5 linked regions of the Xenopus tropicalis genome follow. The protein of the gene in region 1 interacts with the protein of each later gene in a pairwise test. Links are inferred from orthologs where the notes say so. Each region holds a gene or a part of one and is shown in the gene's direction. Other genes may lie near its edges.

Region 1 (4,204 bases):
TAAATTGCAAAAGTGCTCGGAAGGATATTCTGAATGATTTTACATTAAAGGAGACATATTGGATAAAGGGGAAAAACGCTAATTTTGTAGGCAATTATGAATAATATATGGTGCTGATTTCACTTTGTGCTAAAAATTAATCCTCTCTGTAACAATGGCCTCTTTATTGGAGCTCCCTATAGAAATGAAGAGTGGGCGTGTCCCAACAGTCCCTGCCAGAAGCACAGTAGGAGGAGGAGAGCCAATCACAGCCCTGCACTCACACAAGCACAGACAGGCTTCAGTTCCCTATCAGGTCAGCCTAGCTGCTGATTGGTTCCTATCCTACAGTGCAGTTTATGGAGGGCCGCTGGCACCCCCTGCACATCCAAAGAATTCAGCCAGCAGGAAGTGGAACAGATGGGCGGGGCTAGTGGGGTTTGGGGGAATTTCTCAATAAATCAGTCTGAAATACAACTTTTTAAAGCACATTCCTTCTATGTCTAGAGGAGTATAATTCACTGGTACATTCATTATTTTTATAAGATATGTCTCCTTTAAGGTATGTGTAACCTTAATTTGTTTGTGTAAAATAACATAAATATACATGAAAGGTACACACATGCCATAGGAGTATAGTCAAGTGCTATTTATAATGCTCCTAAATTATGATCAAGCACCCAAAAAGTAATTTACAGAAAATAAAGGATGCTATTCAGTAAGATTACAGTTCCCACAATGCTTTGAAATGTATTACAACTTTAATAGTTTAACCTTAATGCCAGGAAGGTCTAGCGTAAAAAAAGAAGAGATCACCCTAAATTCAACAATGAGCCTTTGTAAGTAAGTAGGCACCTCCTATGGTCACCCTTATGAGCCTTACCCACCCCTTCTCTGGCTCTTGGGCACACAAATTAAAAACCACGGGCATATGAAAAGCTATCTGAAGGCAAATAAACTAATAACTGCACTTTGTGCATTATTCCGCCCCTACCGGGATTATTATCCGCTCTCTTCCAAATCCGTGCGGAGGGGGCTGTAGTGCTCTCGCCTCAGCCAATCAGAGCGCAGGGTGGGCACTATCGCTAGAGCGCCCTATAGGAAAGCGGAGCTAGAGTATTGTGTTGGCAGCCGGCGCTTTAGATGTCGCCAAATGTATATGTGTGGGCTGAAGTTTGGAGCTGGTTATGCTCTGCCTTTGGGAGTACCCTAAGCACTCGCATTTCCACCATCATTAGTCTCATTCTGCGGCAGATAAACTAAAGCTGGATGCAAAACTCTGGAAGCCTGCGCCAGTTGCTGCTCTGAAAACAGCGCGCTCTAGGTTATTGTCTCCTTTCTCTCATGCCATGTGGCGTGGCTTCAGTTTGTGATCGCTTTAGAGGTTGGTCTCTCGCAGACTCCGTAGCGTCGGCGGTTGCCAGGCAGCGGCCAAAGCTGAAGGTTCCGTGCCAATATGGCGCAGGCTCACAAGGAATCAGTGCTCGCTGCCGCCTGTGTGAGGACCCCTGTGAACCCCTACACCAAAGCACCGCTTGCCCTGTACGAACGGGAGTTGGGGGAAAGGCAACAACAACGAACTGCCTCTGTCTCACCCCAGAGACTTCCAAGAACATCAATGGTATGGATACTATTCTTACAGCTGGAATATTAAAGCTCATAGAAACCTAAAGATAGCAAACTTCTTAACAATTTATCTCTGAGCTAAACTTATATATACAAATATATTTATTACAAATGTCCCATTGTGTTAAAGTTATTTGTAAGTAGAACTTCTTTTGATAGCTTCATCTGTCAAACTGCTGGTTGTAACTAGTGAAACAATGTAGCAGAGGGCAGCTGATTCACAGACAGGGCTAGGAACAGGCAAGTGGCTGCTGCTACAGTGCTTCATTAGACAGATCTAAATGGCAATTACATTTACAGTTCACTTTAAAATATGAATATACATAAAAAGTTACCTATAGGTCATGTTGATGGTGTCTCGCTGACAGGTTTGCTTTTGTAAGTAATTGTTACTTGAAGTTCCTACACCTGACTGTTTTGCCAACCTGACTGTCCCTTCCCAGCCTGTCAGTTACAGCTTCTAATGCTAACAGACAAATATGGCTGCCCCCACTTAGAGGAACCGAGGATCAGACAGGTAATGTAAACGCATCAGGCAAATATTTTTATGGCAAAATTCTAAAGTTCTTGCAAAGACAATGTTATTATAGATGTAAAAAAAAAGATTTACTTTCTGGTGTCAGTATCTCTTTAAGACCATTGAAAAATGTTTATGAATTTCTGTTGGAAAGTTTCGTAGATTTACGTTTTTTATTAGGCAAACATGGTATTTTGGGGTTTACAGCCTGGTTTGTTCTGCTGTAACTTATAGACAGTAGGCATATGAGTTGGGCACAGGCGGCAAACATTAGAACTCTGTTTGGAACAGAACCTTTGGGTTCCCAAGTGTTGCTGGCCCCACAACTCCTTTGTTATATGTTGAAGAATGGTAGGTAAGCCCAGAACTAGGGGTAGGCAGAAGGGGCATGTGCCTAAGGTGCAATTATAGGGCAGGGCTTTGGAGTTGGTACATATATCCAGTGACTCCTCAGTTTATGGTACTTCAGACTCCAGGTACCCAAATTTGCTTCTGACTCTACAAATCTGACTCCACAGCCCTGGCCAGTCTATGGAGTCTTTACATAAATCCTTCAGCTACTCAGTAGTTGCTTCTGACTCCGACTCCACTTGGGGGGTGCTACTCATTGGGATAATGTTTACAAAAAAGTAACAGAGGCTGCTGACCCTGCTGATGGGAGATGTAGTTAAACAATCGCTGGAGGGCCGCAGGTTTGACATCGCTGTATTACTTAGTTAGCCTGGGCATGGAAGGGCAGCATGCTCTGGGAATTATCTCTAGCCTGTCATCTGGTGTTTATTTTATAAGCCTATTCGGCACCGGTTAATTAACAGATGGGATCATGTGATGCCAGTGCTAATTATACAGAGTGCTATTTGGCACATCAGTTACATTTACATGCTAATAATGGTGAAAAGCTGAACAGTATAAGCTACAATGTAGGGGATCCCGTTTAAAAGAGGATTAGATTGGTAGTTATTTTTAGTGACTATAGAGCATTAGCTGGGAAGCAATTTACTGAATTAAGCAGAGCACTGGCAAACCCGTGATGGTGTTGTCTCAATGTCTATAAAATCTGCAGGGCTGAAAAGAGATCTCATAGTCATTATATCTGGAGAAGGAAAGCGTACAGGGAGTGGGGGAGAGTATGGACCTGTCCCAAAACTTACATTCATGTCACACTTAACACAAGTAAAACATTGACAACTAGTTACGGATGCACCAAATCCAGGATTCGGTTTAGGATTTGGCCAAGATTCAGCCTTTTTCAGCAGGATTCATATTCAGCTGAATCCACGCTCCTGGCCAAACCAAATCTGAATCCTTAAAAACACTTTTTGTCACATAAATACGGAAGTTGAACATTTTTTGCTGCACTCGTTAACCCTTCCGTGTCCTAATTTACATATGCAAATTTGGATTTGGTTCGGTATTTGGACAAATCTTTTACGAAGGGTTCGGGGTTTGGATGAATCCGAAAATAGTGGATCCCTGCAACTAGTATTTTTGTACAATAAAAGAAAATGTAATTTTAAGCAAATATGTTAATGAAAGGTTTTCAGTGGTTTTAAAATTACTTACTATATTTGTGCATTTGACGCACGTTCAGAATGTAATAGAATGAAGAAATGACTGTTGAACTTACAAGAACACACTTACTTGCATCTAAATCAATGCACGTGAATGCAATAAATGGGAAAATAGAAGCAAAAGATGGCAGCTCTGTGCTTTAATAAAAACATTTTTCAAAGATGAGTAGCACCCACAGGAGTCCGTGAGGCTGGTAACAAATTGGCATCTCCACGGTGAATTTGTCTGTGTTGTCCTTTAATCCCTGCCCATTCATTTATTATATTTCTGTTATATGTAGATATAAGCTTATGATGCTCTGTTAAATTTTCCTATATTATAAATTTTTTTTCTTTATACAGTTTATATATATATATAAATATATATCTCAAATTAACCAGTGATGTGCAAGGAAATGACTAATAAACAGAGATAATGGGAGACTGAAACAAGAGATGCAACAGGCCCTGCCCACAAGAGATTACAGGCTATATCTGTTAGCAGTGTAAGCTTATTATGGTGTATGCTGTG
Region 2 (3,500 bases), on another chromosome or scaffold:
GGTTAGATTAATACAGGAAGAGAAGGAGACCACAGAGCAGCGAGCAGAGGAGATTGAATCCCGGGTTGGGAGTGGGAGCCTAGATAATTTGGGCCGTTTCAGGTCCATCACTTCAATTCCCCCTTTTACTGGTGGTACTTCTCTTGCCGGATCCTCTCCTCCTGGCAGTGGTCGCTCAACTCCAAGAAGAATACCCCATAGTCCAGCCCGGGAAGTGGATAGGCTGGGTGTCATGACACTGGTAAGTCCTCATTTGAGCATGTGTATTTATATACTCTAGCGATAAAAAGTCAGGGTATGTAGTAGCATAACTGCTCTCTTAATTACAGAATGGCTTCTTTGTACAACTGGGTGGTTCAGTGTTGCTTTATGGCTTTATAATAGGTACAGAATGGAATCTGCATTATCACATTAATATAAGACAGACTGACATTGCTGTGCTAGTAAACACCAAAGAGTAATGCAACTGAATGTTCCATTGATGATGGATTGCTATATTGTTAGCACGCTAGAGCAAATACTGTACTGGAAAGGAATTACTCTGCTGTCAGTAGGATACATTGACTGTTAAACACAGATAGCCAGCCGTATCCCACAGGCATCCTCAGTCAAAGGCTTGGCTATCCCCAGCTCGGAAAAATTCTATAGAGAAACTGATGTGAGCCGTATCAGTAAACCTTTAAAACAAGTGAATGTGAAATTGATGAGTGCTATTCTAAGCACGTTTGCAATGTACATGCATTTTTTATTTTTAATTCCAATATAATAAGGGATAAAGTACTGTCAATATGAATACATTTTGTTACCACAGCGCCACCTGCTGGTCAGCTTCACACCATGCTGTTTGTCTAGGACAGGGGTCCTCATACTTTTTAAGCAGAGGGCCATTTCATTGTCCCTCAGACTGTTGGTGGGCCGGACTAAAGTCCTACCCCCATGTACTCTTACTATAGCCTGCTCCCCGCTGCGTTCTCTGGCTCCCCGCTGCATCTTCCCACAGCTTCCTTGCATCAGATCATAGTGGGGGCTGGGTAAATAACCTTGGGGGACCGTATCCGGCCCGCAGGCCATAGTTTGAGGATTCCTGGTCTAGGAAGAAATAAAGAGGGCTGAGCTGATGTTTTCCTTGTTAGGGAAGACGTGAGACGTTATCTGAGGTTTCTAATGTTTTTCTTGACAACTGCCTTGACTACATCATAGTCAGAAAATGTCCAGCAGGTGGCGCTGATGTGACAATTCACTAATTTTGACAGTACTTCATCCCTTAATATCCTGGAATTAAGAAAAAAAAATAATGAATGTAAATTGAAAAAGTGCTTACACTTGAACTCATCAATTGTACATTCACAAGGTTTACTTATCCTTCATGCTGCTTGTAAGGATCTTCCCTCCCCCATAAGTACTTAGTACATTACAATCATTATTACTAGCACATTGCATAACCCCCCTGTGCGTTCCTTGTTTATCACCCTGCCTTCCCGTCACACTATGCCAGTCATTCCTCTAACGTTCATTATTCTTCCCCCTGCTTGTGTCGCCTTCTGTGAAGGACGGTGTTATATACATCAGCAGGGCTGCCGAGTCCTGAATAATCGGCCACTAACATCTGAATAATAGGAGAACATAATTGTAAATAAGTGTTTTGTCATTGAGTTCCATAAAAGAGACAGAATTAATTCTTAAATACGGACTTACACACAGGGTTAAGCCAGTGTCAATGAAATGTGCTCACAGAGCCCTGCATGGGACATATGTATGGGATAGAATCTCCCCAACTCTGGCGAATACAGGGTTCCCTTGCTATTCTAAAGGGCACCAATATATAGTTTTACATTCAGTGCTGGTGCCCAGGATTGGTGTAGAATTAATGACCTATATGTTTTCAAAGTGGCGGTTCACCTTTAAGTTAACTATGTTATAGAATGGCTAATTCTAAGCAGCTTTTCAACTGGTCTTCATTTTTTTTTTTTATTTATTGTTTTTGAATTATATACCACCTTCTACCTCTTTTGAACATTCAAATGGGGTCAAACAACTATTGCCCTGTGAGGCTACAATTTTATTGTTATCGTTACATTTTATATCTTATCTTTCTATTCAGGTCCTCCCCTATTCATATCCCATTTGATTCAAAGCGATGCCTAGTTGCTGTGGTAGCTTGGACCCTAGCAACCAGATAGCAGCTAAAATTCCAAACTGGAGAGCTGCTGAATAAAAAGCTAAATATATATATCACAAATAATAATAAATGAAGACCAGTTGCAAATTGACTCAGAAGAGTACAGAAGGAGTCATAATGGATACATGGGAAAAACCCCTAAATTTAATCCGATCTGTAAAAATGGCCCCTTTATTGGAGCTCCCTATAGATCCTATCAGTTCTCTGTCCCTGCTTGAAATGAAGGGTGGGCGTGTCCTAACAGTCCCTGCCAGAAGCACAGTAGGAGGGGGACAGCCAATCACAGCCCTGCACTCACACAAGCAAAGGCAGGCTTCAGTTCCCTATTAGGTCAGCCTAGCTGCTGATTGGCTCCTATCCTACAGAGCAGAGTAATGAGAGCCCCCCTGCACATCCCGAGAATTCAGCCGGCAGGAAGTGGAACAGATGGGCGGGGCTAGTGGGGTTTTGGTGGAATTTCTCAATAAATCAGTCTGAACATACAACTTTTTTTAAGCACAATTATTCTATATCTATAATTCATTGGTACATTCAGAATTTCTATAGCATATGTCTCCTTTAAAGGTGAACAACCCCTTTAATGATGAAGACATGCTGAGCTACTAGTAGCAGGTCTTTTTTTACAGCTACAAAACGCCAGAAAATACCCTGCCATAGACAATACTGAGATGTACATACGTAGAGACAATTATCTGCACTTTAGGTTAGCATGACTGGCATAGTAGGGCATTATTATCCCCCCCCAGTACTTAATTGCTTTTTTTTTGTGTATATTATTTTAGCCTTCATCTTCTGACTCAGTTCCCAGTGTGTCTGTAGTTCATTCATCCAGCTCCCCTCCTAGCAATTCCCCCTCCTGCCCCGACTCATCTCACTCATCCCAGGTAAAGATCCCATTGTCTTTCCTTCACTCCCCCCCCCCTTTCAGTGTCACCTGTGTGTCTTTATTATTTATATTTATATATATGCTGCTAAACTGTCTGTGTGTGAATGGTGTGCTTTTCCTCACAATGTAATCTTAATGGGGATGTCCACTTTGAGCAAGTTCCAACCCAATTGGTAGGATTGCAGGGTAAGTAGAACTATCTGCCACTGACCTCACATTAGGGTGGGGCTACCCTGTGGGCAGGTAGTTGCCATTAGGCTAGGGGCCTGGGCAAATTACAGATAGATTGGGGCATTGCTTACATTATTATTATTACTCAATTTTCTGGGACTGCGGCCCATTGCCCAAGTGCACCATCAACTCCTGATATTTGGTGGGCAGAAGCTGTGTCCGTGGCAAATACAGGTCTGTAACAGGTATACGGGAGGCATTGGT
Region 3 (3,500 bases), on another chromosome or scaffold:
CTGCAGTGGCATGTGGATGTTGTCCTTTCCCTATAAGTCTGTGTAGGCCTGCATTAAGATCTGATTGTTGGCCAATGGGTCAGGAGAGGAGAGGGAGTGAGCATAGGTATAGTGCCTAGGGCAGCACTGGACCTAAATACAACCCTAAAGGGATCACATTTAGTATCATGTTTTAGAGAATAAGATTGCTCAGAGCAGCAGTTCTGTAAGGGCTGTGACAGACGGCGGCGACTAATCTCCCCAAAATGCCATCCCACCGGCTAGAATGGAAATCGCCGGTGGGATGGCATACGCGGCGCCGAAATCACCAAAGTTTCCTCTCAAAGCAACTTTGCCGATTTCAGCAACTCGCTGCACCGCGTATGCCATCCCACTTGCGATTTACATTCTAGCCAGTGGGATGGCATTTCGGGGAGATTTGTCACGCTGCTACTAATCTCCCCGTCTGTCACAGCCCTAAGTGTTTATGTATGTATTTAATTAGACCTTTCTGATAAAGCTTACTTAGTTTTTACCTTGCCTTCTCCTTTAAACAAAAACTTAATTCCTAGGATGAAAGTTTCCTTACATCACTATTATTTCTGGGACATAAATTTCATACCATTGCTAATTTTTTATTGGCTGGAAGATACACAGCAAGCAAAGCAGCACCGCATAGCCTTAAAAGTAAAATGCCTGAATATTTAAAAAGCAAAATGTGTGCAACCTATTGGTGTGCAAAGAACCCTCACATTTTGGAAATATATTTTTATAGTCGGTTGCCTTTTTACTGCCAACAGGTTAATTCTGACACTTAAAGGGCATCTATGACCTCTATATTGTTTTTCCCACCAAAAGGGTGGGCTAATAGAATTAGCACTCCAGTTGGGGGAAACATAAGTTTTTTTTAAGAAAACCTCACCGGGCCGGGAGGGAGCTTCCAGTGTGGGTGGCCAAGTTGGTAGGCGTGTATAATAAGGAGTCGCGCTGGTACAACCTATATTGTCAGTGCATCAGGTGTTAGAATCCTTTCCGGGCCAAGGTGAAGTAATGAGCAAATATAAATAAAAATCAGTGGCTGGCCGTTGGAGGGGTAGACAAGAAGAGGCAATGCTGACTGCGCCCCCTATGTTTAGCGCCCTAAGCAGCTGCCTCTTCTGCCTACCCCTAGTTCTGGCCCTGTGCTTGTGTCCCAACATGGCTGCCCCCCCATGGGCTCCCTCCTGGTGTGCTCAGCACTGGCGGGGGCAGTTATTTTTTTTGGAGTGTGGGCTCTATTAGCCTGCACCTCTGGTGGGAGAAACAATATAGGGTGCCCTTTAAATCTTATTAACTTACTACAGTAAGTAGCCAGCTCAGGATTTTGTTCTTGACTAGGGTTGCCACCTGTCCAGTTTTGCCCCGGTTTTTGGAAGGGCTGTCCGGGTCTAAACTGCCTGCCTGGTTTTCCCAATTTAGAAAATTGGCCAATCGTCGTTCGCCACATCATAGTCCCGCCGATGTAACATTATGTCCCCGCCCCTATGATATCACACCCCGCCCACTGACACCACATCTCAGCCCCCCCACCCAAATTTACGGCCATGGAAAAGTGACAACCCTATTCTTGACTGGAACTGCAGGCTCATTTTTAATTGACGCTGGTGTTGTATTAAACGGTTTCAGAGGATAGAATCTGACTTATGTGCTGTACTCTCCCATTTAGGGTTGCATCAGATTTGGGTTTATGTACAATATTTTACTAATCTTATTTTAGGATAGATATTTTTATGCCAGTATAGAAGATTCTTTTGATATATGATGCAATGTTTCTGGTCATTGCCATCACAAGGATAGGCAACTTTTGACTTTCTCTTTGTGATATTATACCACCTCTAACTCAGGTAGGATGTTACACTATTACACTAATACTTTAATTTTTTTTTATTACTATGCTATTATTTGGCAACTTTCACACTAGTAAATTTCTCAGCAAAATAATAGCTGTAACTTTTCTCACCTGCATTTGCCTACAATCCTTTTCCATTGTGGAACTGGCAAACCTGCATGATTGTTGCATGGCAATGTACTTATCTGTGTTTTAAGGTCACAGCTGTTCAGCTGCAGCATTTATGTGGTAATTTCAGTTGACTACAATACAAAGTGACTGGACTACTGTTTCCAATGTCCAGCTCCTCTGGTATCCAAATAGTGGCCTAGTGTAAAGGTCCCCATACACTGGCCGATAGTAGCCGCCGATATCGGTCCCTTGGACCGATTTGGCAGCTAATCGGTCCGTGTATGGGAACTTCCGACGGACCTTCCCGACCGATATCTGGCCTGAAATCGGCCAGATCTCGATCGGGCAGGTTAGAAAATCTAGTCTGATCGAGGACCGCATCGGCTCGTTGATGTGGTCCCCGGACCAACTTTACCTATGCCCGTCATTATAATTCGATCGTTTGGCCCCAGGGCCAAACGATCGAATTACCCTGGATTCTCCCGATATCGCCCACCTGTAGGTGGGGGATATCGGGAGAAGATCCGCTCACTTGGCGACATCGCCAATGTATGGGGACTTTAAGATTAGCAACCTGTTTAATCCAGACATTATAATATGAACCAGATTAAAGCATCTGGATTTATTTGTCCATTTTTTTCAGATGAAGGGGCTAGAATGAAAAAGCTCAGGTATTTATTTTGGAACGGTCACACTTTAGTTTTACTTTTTTGAGGCTGAATTACTCTGCCCTGCATAATGTGTTTTGCTAATAATCAGTAAGCACAAACATCGTTATACTGTGCATCATTGCCCTCCACATTAACACAGTAATACAACTGCAGTGGGTATAGTGAACAAGGATTAGAGGACCAGTAATATGGTCCGATTGCCATCTATGAGTCTGTTTTTTTAACTAGCGGATATTTTCTATTTTCAACCTATGTTACTATTGTTTCCTCAACTCAGAGTGCCCTGATTGGTGCCCTTTAAAGGAGAAGGAAAGGCAAAGTCACTTGGGGGTGCCAAAATGTTAGCCGACTTCTTCTGTTAAAGTTCGGCTTTTCACTCGCGTGCAGTGAACCAGGAAGAAGGAAACGCTGGCAGCTACCCCGGGCTGGTACTGTTCTCTCTGAACAGGGGCACCAGCCCGGGGTAAAGGGTAAGCTATTGAAGTCACTTGGGGGTGCCTAACATTTTGGCACCCCCAAGTGACTTTGCCTTTCCTTCTCCTTTAAAGGGCACCAATCAGGGCACTCTGAGTTGAGGAAACAATAAAACAAATAAAACATAAAAATGAAATTATATAACTGCAGTAACTCTTTCCAGAAGCATGTAAACCTATTACCAATAAATACTCTTTCAGCTCTAAAAACGCCGAAATTGATCACTGTCGAGAGGGGTATGAGAAAGTCAAATGCCAACTGGAGAGGAAAATTGTGGACGTGCAAAGTGATCTGGATTTACAAAAACAGGTGAGATGATCATAGGAACTAGTTAATAACCTGTTTAATTTGTGGGATAAGGAGATATTAAGCATTTT
Region 4 (3,500 bases), about 130 Mb from region 1:
GGAGCGGGGCAACACCCCCGAGGGAAGGCTCAAGCCAAGGATAGACAGGGAGAGCCCCCCCCCCAGTCACCCTGAGGAGCGGGGCAACACCCCCGAGGAAGCTCAAGCCAAGGATAGACAGGGAGAGCCCCCCAGTCACCCTGAGGAGCGGGGCAACACCCCGAGGGAAGGCTCAAGCCAAGGATAGACAGGGAGAGCCCCCCCAGTCACCCTGAGGAGCGGGGCAACACCCCGAGGAAGGCTCAAGCCAAGGATAGACAGGGAGAGCCCCCCCAGTCACCCTGAGGAGCGGGGCAACACCCCCGAGGGAAGGCTCAAGCCAAGGATAGACAGGGAGAGCCCCCCAGTCACCCTGAGGAGCGGGCAACACCCCCGAGGGAAGGCTCAAGCCAAGGATAGACAGGGAGAGCCCCCCCCAGTCACCCTGAGGAGCGGGGCAACACCCCGAGGGAAGGCTCAAGCCAAGGATAGACAGGGAGAGCCCCCCCAGTCACCCTGAGGACGGGGCAAACACCCCCGAGGGAAGCTCAAGCCAAGGATAGACAGGGGAGAGCCCCCCCAGTCACCCTGAGGAGCGGGGCAACACCCCCGAGGGAAGGCTCAAGCCAAGGATAGACAGGGAGAGCCCCCCCAGTCACCCTGAGGAGCGGGGCAACACCCCGAGGGAAGGCTCAAGCCAAGGATAGACAGGGAGAGCCCCCCCCAGTCACCCTGAGGAGTGGGCAACACCCCCGAGGAAGGCTCAAGCCAAGGATAGACAGGGAGAGCCCCCCCAGTCACCCTGAGGAGCGGGGCAACACCCCGAGGAAGGCTCAAGCAAGGATAGACAGGGAGAGCCCCCCCAGTCACCCTGAGGAGCGGGGCAACACCCCCGAGGGAAGGCTCAAGCCAAGGATAGACAGGGAGAGCCCCCCCCAGTCACCCTGAGGAGCGGGGGCAACACCCCCGAGGGAAGGCTCAAACCAAGGATAGACAGGGAGAGCCCCCCCAGTCACCCTGAGGAGCAGAGCAACACCCCCGAGGGAAGGCTCAAGCCAAGGATAGACAGGGAGAGCCCCCCCCCAGTCACCCTGAGGAGCGGGGCAACACCCCGAGGGAAGGCTCAAGCCAAGGATAGACAGGAGAGCCCCCCCAGTTCACCCTGAGGAGCAGAGCAAACACCCCCGAGGGAAGGCTCAAGCCAAGGATAGACAGGGAGAGCCCCCCCCCCAGTCACCCCTGAGGAGCGGGGCAACACCCCGAGGGAAGGCTCAAGCCAAGGATAGACAGGGAGAGCCCCCCCAGTCACCCTGAGGAGCGGGGCAACACCCCCGAGGGAAGGCTCAAGCCAAGGATAGACAGGGAGAGCCCCCCCCCCAGTCACCCTGAGGAGCGGGGCAACACCCCGAGGGAAGGCTCAAGCCAAGGATAGACAGGGAGAGCCCCCCCAGTCACCCTGAGGAGCGGGGCAACACCCCCGAGGGAAGGCTCAAGCCAAGGATAGACAGGGAGAGCCCCCCCAGTCACCCTGAGGAGCGGGGCAACACCCCGAGGGAAGGCTCAAGCCAAGGATAGACAGGGAGGAGCCCCCCCAGTCACCCTGAGGAGCGGGGCAACACCCCCGAGGGAAGGCTCAAGCAAGATAGACAGGGAGAGCCCCCCCAGTCACCCTGAGGAGCGGGGCAACACCCCCGAGGGAAGGCTCAAGCCAAGGATAGACAGGGAGAGCCCCCCCAGTCACCCTGAGGAGCGGGGCAACACCCCCGAGGGAAGGCTCAAGCCAACTTAACTCCCAGTAGACCATACGCATAAAGATTAAGCCCTGTAGGGTAAAGAGTAGTCACTACATAGAAGGGCAAACCAGCACCAAATCCTTTCTGAACTGTATTCCCCCCCTGCCTAGGCCCATGAACCCCAAATCTGAGCAGCACCTCATGTGTGAGGAACATGAGGATGAGAAGATCAACATCTACTGCCTGAGCTGCGAGGTACCGACCTGCTCTATGTGCAAAGTGTTTGGGGCCCATAAAGACTGCGAGGTGGCCCCTCTCTCCAACATCTACAAACGACAGAAGGTACCAGGGGGCGGGGAATGGGAGGGGTTTGGGGCCCTATATCATTAACCTCATGCTGGAGCCAATCATAGGGCACTACATTGGGGATCAGCTTCAACTCAGCCAATCACAGTGATCTTATTGATGCAAAATGTAGTGGGGAATGTGGGGTCACCTGATATTGCTGTACCCCCAGAGTGAGCTGAGTGACGGCATTGCCATGCTGGTGGCAGGAAACGACCGGATCCAGGCGATCATCTCCCAGATGGAGGAGATCTGCAAGAGCATCGAGGTGAGTCTGAGGGCCCCATGGGCAGGGCGGGGTTTGTAATAGAGTGGGTGGAGTCAGTGTGGGAGATGCATAATGGGGGTGTTTTCAGATGAGGAGGGATCAGAGGGGGGCTCTTTTCTTTGGGGACCCATTTGTATTTGGCAGGGTTCGCCTCTCAGGGTGCCCTACAGGACCAATGTGCTACTAACTGGGGCTCCCTGGGGGAGGGGCCTGCGTACCCATGATTACTAATGGCAGAGCTGTGACGGTACCTTGTGCCCAATCCCCTGCAGGATAACAGCCGCCGGCAGAAGCAGCTCCTCAGCCAACGCTTCGACTCCCTCTATAACATCCTGGAGGAGCGCAAGAAGGAACTGCTGCAAGTGGTTACCCGGCAACAGGAGGAGAAACTGCAGTGTGTGCGGGGGCTCATCCGCAAGCATGGGGACCACCTAGAGGGCACCTCCAAACTGGTAGAGTCTTCCATTCAGTCCATGGAGGAGCCACAAATGGCAGCCTTCCTGCAGGTACAGAGCCCCTCCTATGCTGATGGTGAGATCCCCATTCCTCCCCACCCCCAATGTATCACTCATTCCCCCTCTCTTGGTAGGGAACCCCATAACCTGACTGCCCTTACAGTAAGGAACCCCTTCCTATGCTGATGGTGAGATCCCCTTTCCTCCCCACCCCCAATGTATCACTCATTCCCCCTCTCTTGGTAGGGAACCCCATAACCTGACTGCCCCTTACAGTAAGGAACCCCTTCCTATGCTGATGGTGAGATCCCCTTTCCTCCCACCCCCAATGTATCACTCATCCCCCCTCTCTTGGTAGGGAACCCATAACCTGACTGCCCTTACAGTAAGGAACCCTTCCTATGCTGATGGTGAGATCCCCTTTCCTCCCCACCTTCAATGTATCACTCCATTCCCCCTCTCTTGGTAGGGAACCCCATAACCTGACTGCCCTTACAGTAAGGAACCCCTTCCTATGCTGATTGGTGAGATCCCCTTTCCTCCCCACCCCCAATGTATCACTCATTCCCCTCTCTGGGTAGGGAACCCCATAACCTGACTGCCCTTACAGTAAGGAACCCCTTCCTATGCTGATGGTGAGATCCCCTTTCCTCCCCACCCCCAATGTATCACTCATTCCCCCTCTCTGGGTAGGAACCCCATAACCTGACTGCCCTTACA
Region 5 (3,500 bases), on another chromosome or scaffold:
GTTGCTAGATGACAGTGTGCCTTAGCCAGGAATGGTGCACACATGCTCCCCCCTATGCCACTGAAGAATAGAAGAGTCCAACTCTCCCCCATGTTTGGTGTTTGGATGTTCCTGTTGGCCCTGTTACATAAGCCTGTACCATTGAAAATGTGACTTGAATTTGACCGATTATCGTTTTTAAAGGGGTAGTTAACTTTTAGTATGTTATAGAATGGTCAATTCTTAGCAACTTTTTTTTATTGGTCTTTATCTTTTATTTTATATAGTTTTTAAATTATTTGCCTTCTTCTTCTGACTTTTTCCAGATTTCAAATGGGGGTCACTCTCCCTGGCAGCAAAAATACTTTTTGTTACTTTTTATTATGTAAGTTTCTATTCAGCCCCTCTCCTATTGCTTTTCCAGTTTTAAAACCACCACCTGGTTACCCATCTATGTGCTAAAATGGAGAGTTAAACAAGAAGCTAAATAATAAAAACACAAATAAAAAATGAAGACCAATTGCAAATATTCTGAGAATATCACTCTCTACATCATTAATGTTAATTTTAAGTTGTAAACTCCCCCTTTAAGTTGGACATCACTGACCTTCCCTAAAGGAAGACCACAAATGGTAACACAGAAAATGCTTGTGTGTTATTTACTGATGGATTTTCTTACTTATTGGGTCGTATAACATGTCTGCTTCTCAGTTGTTGTTTTACTCGGCATGATTGGTCACTGCGACAGCCAACAAATGGTTTCAGGCAGTAACGTGACAGCTTAGCCACCTAAACCATTGTGTGCTATTCACCTGAAGTACCTGAGTAATATATATACTCTGGCTTTATTCAAAGATTGGCAAATAGAGTATTCTTCATTAACACAAAACAATTTACTAATCCAGAACAATTTGATTAATTGCAACTGTGAGCAATAAAGCACTGATAATCTGCTAAATCAGCAAATATCCGCTGTTCCACAAACAAGCGCACACTCTGCTTCCCCTGGGAACGATATTCTCTGTTTATAACTACAGTTAATTGCTTGGGGTGAACTCCAGACGTTTCCATGAAAGAATCCTTGTGTGCTTTATCTATAGTGTTTAGCTTGAGCAGTATGGGAAGGAAATAATATGATAAGGAAATGCTCAGCTGTATTTGTACCAGGGTTGTATTGTTGGTGAGATGGAATGCCCGAAACCTTTGTACTTTGCTTTAGACAATGGCTTCAAAGTGATTCCATACATGTAAAATTATATTTTTAGAAATGGACATGATAGAATAGCATAGGTGTACCTGAGCCTTTTTTGCCTTAATAATAAAAACACTTATGGTCACTCACGGGTCCCCTGATACACAGAAGGAATGTAGCAGTAGACTGAAGTCATGGAACTTAAACTGGAATAACTTTTATTATTGTCTTTTTTCAGTAAAGTGAAATGCAACATGAATTTAGCAGTATGATTAGAAATGCATTGGGAATGTTGTAAAGCTTCCATATATTTAAGTGTTCTTTCTCTTGTGTATTTCTCTAGGTGGTTTATGCAGTCCTCTGTATTTAGATTATCTACACTATGGCTGCCTTGCAAGCTCTTCCATTATCCATTGACCAAAACGCTGAGGTCAGTGGTAGCCAAAGCCATACAAACACCAGGTCGCCTGTCACAGAGAACACCATGGGAAGCGTCAGCAGCTTAATCTCTGGGAGGACATACCATGACAAGCAGTGCAAGGCCTCTGAATTGAGCAACAAGTGCCGCAAACCTACCAACATGCCAAACTGTTTTAAGCAGCAAGAGGGGCTTATAAAAAGTAATTACAGCTCACAGGATCCTCTGTTTAATGGGCTTCCTACAAAGAAACCCTCTACTACTACCTCTGGAAATAATGGGAATTATGTCTACGTCAACGAGGACTTTAAAGAGGAATGGCATGAACCTAGAGTACCAATCAGCCCCTCTAGTGATGCTGAAGATATTCGGGAAGAGAGAGCTCTTAATGGGAATATAAGAGGGCCTCCCCCCAAACTCATCCCAGTCTCTGGCAAATTAGAAAAGGTAATAGTTGATTGGTTATTGGGTGCAAATATGTATTCATTCATTTTTTTTGAAGGGCATGTTTTCCCTGATATCAACTTTTAGCATGATGTAGATGTTGATATTCTGGGACAATTTGTAGTTAGTTTTCCTTTTTTATTTTTTGTAGTTTTTTTTCAGTTATTTAGATTTTTGTTCAGCAGATCTCTAGTTTGGAATTTCAGCAGCTATCTGGTTGCTAGGGTCTTGTTTACCTTAGCAACCAGGCAGTGGTGGGAATGAGAGACAGGAATATGAATAGAAGAGCAACTAAATAGATAAGAAATAAAATGTAACTTTTATTTTTGGCTGATGGGGTCAGTGACCCCCATGTGAAAGCTGGAAAGATGTAGGTGAAGCAGGCAAATAATTCAAAGTATAAAAAAAAATAAATGAAGACCAAATGCAAAGTTGCTAGAAATAGTACATTATAACATACTAAAAGTTGGTGAGAGTATATGGTCCAAAATACTTATTTGATTAAATCTACTAGTCCCTTTATAGCAGTCAACTAGTGCTCTACTCGCCTGTGTATTTGGCCTTCAGTTTATTTCATGGAATAGTGCCCCCCATGATCCAACTAAAGGCATTTTAAAAATATGGTTATTTCCAAATAAATCTCTAGGTTGAGAAGGGGACGGGGCCATCCATTCCATTGTGATTTTAGTGAGGGTGGAAGACAGCAGGTCAGTGGAAAGGCCTTGTGTGTGACCCCTAAAGCCCCACTATGGGACAGACAGAAAGTAGCAGTCAGTAGGTAGGACTGCAATTAGCACAAAGCTTACAATTACAGCTATTTGCATATTTGCACAATGTTGGGCTGTGGGCTATTTACATTGTCAAATTTCAAACAAAACACCTAATGATGATGCATCAGCTTTTATACTGGCGTTTCCTTTATTCCGGCAGCTTCCCGTAAATCCCGTAAAATACACAATTTGCAGCTTGTTATTTTTCTAGGTGTTTTAGGGATTCTTTTGACGCATTTATATCTAATCTTAAAGGCTGGAGGTGGGATCGGAAATCCCAGTCAAGCATAGAGCTTAGTGTTTCTGTTCACTTACTGCTTTATTTTTAGCTCATAATTACAAATCCCTCCTGAAATGTGCAATTCAAATGGGCAAGTCCAGCACGTCAATTAAAGGCAGCTTTTAGTTCCTGTTCCACATCCTCTGAGTAATGATAGGTGCTGTTACCTAAGCATCTCCCGTCTTAGTACGGGCGCTGTAGGATGCCTGAATTAAACCAGTACAGAACATTGTATATAGATAAACTCGTGTTCCTTCTGGAAGGTTTAATACACATACAGTAGAGCATTCAAATTTGCCCTGGTCAGACAACTTCTAGCTGCTGGCTTATGCAATTAGACTAGTTGCTAATAAAGGTCTTGGATCAGTTGTTACAGACCCCCAATAGTATTAGTTGCCCATGCAGACATGTGATCTG

The links. The genes of interacting proteins can lie anywhere in the genome.
Region 2: the proteins of fam161a (region 1) and ppfia1 interact in binary tests that used the Homo sapiens proteins (3 or more experiments, as listed by UniProt). The link is inferred for Xenopus tropicalis from reciprocal best matches to the Homo sapiens genes FAM161A and PPFIA1.
Region 3: the proteins of fam161a (region 1) and ccdc57 interact in binary tests that used the Homo sapiens proteins (3 or more experiments, as listed by UniProt). The two-hybrid records come from large-scale screens. The link is inferred for Xenopus tropicalis from reciprocal best matches to the Homo sapiens genes FAM161A and CCDC57.
Region 4: the proteins of fam161a (region 1) and trim54 interact in binary tests that used the Homo sapiens proteins (3 or more experiments, as listed by UniProt). The two-hybrid records come from large-scale screens. The link is inferred for Xenopus tropicalis from reciprocal best matches to the Homo sapiens genes FAM161A and TRIM54.
Region 5: the proteins of fam161a (region 1) and lzts2 interact in binary tests that used the Homo sapiens proteins (3 or more experiments, as listed by UniProt). The two-hybrid records come from large-scale screens. The link is inferred for Xenopus tropicalis from reciprocal best matches to the Homo sapiens genes FAM161A and LZTS2.

What each region holds. Positions count from the first base shown.
Region 1 is NC_030681.2:33,455,251-33,459,454, forward strand, and holds the start of fam161a (protein FAM161A), read left to right. Parts: upstream 1-1,404; 5' UTR 1,405-1,435; coding exon 1,436-1,600; intron 1,601-4,204. UniProt on the Homo sapiens protein: Involved in ciliogenesis.
Region 2 is NC_030680.2:14,532,028-14,535,527, forward strand, and holds part of ppfia1 (liprin-alpha-1), read left to right. Parts: intron 1-6; coding exon 7-241; intron 242-2,961; coding exon 2,962-3,063; intron 3,064-3,500. UniProt on the Homo sapiens protein: May regulate the disassembly of focal adhesions. May localize receptor-like tyrosine phosphatases type 2A at specific sites on the plasma membrane, possibly regulating their interaction with the extracellular environment and their association with substrates.
Region 3 is NC_030686.2:27,518,148-27,521,647, reverse strand, and holds part of ccdc57 (coiled-coil domain-containing protein 57), read left to right. Parts: intron 1-3,323; coding exon 3,324-3,432; intron 3,433-3,500. UniProt on the Homo sapiens protein: Pleiotropic regulator of centriole duplication, mitosis, and ciliogenesis. Critical interface between centrosome and microtubule-mediated cellular processes. Centriole duplication protein required for recruitment of CEP63, CEP152, and PLK4 to the centrosome.
Region 4 is NC_030681.2:162,391,351-162,394,850, reverse strand, and holds part of trim54 (tripartite motif-containing protein 54), read left to right. Parts: intron 1-1,882; coding exon 1,883-2,054; intron 2,055-2,229; coding exon 2,230-2,325; intron 2,326-2,597; coding exon 2,598-2,831; intron 2,832-3,500. UniProt on the Homo sapiens protein: May bind and stabilize microtubules during myotubes formation.
Region 5 is NC_030683.2:29,786,038-29,789,537, forward strand, and holds part of lzts2 (leucine zipper putative tumor suppressor 2 homolog), read left to right. Parts: intron 1-1,514; 5' UTR 1,515-1,553; coding exon 1,554-2,036; intron 2,037-3,500. UniProt on the Homo sapiens protein: Negative regulator of katanin-mediated microtubule severing and release from the centrosome. Required for central spindle formation and the completion of cytokinesis.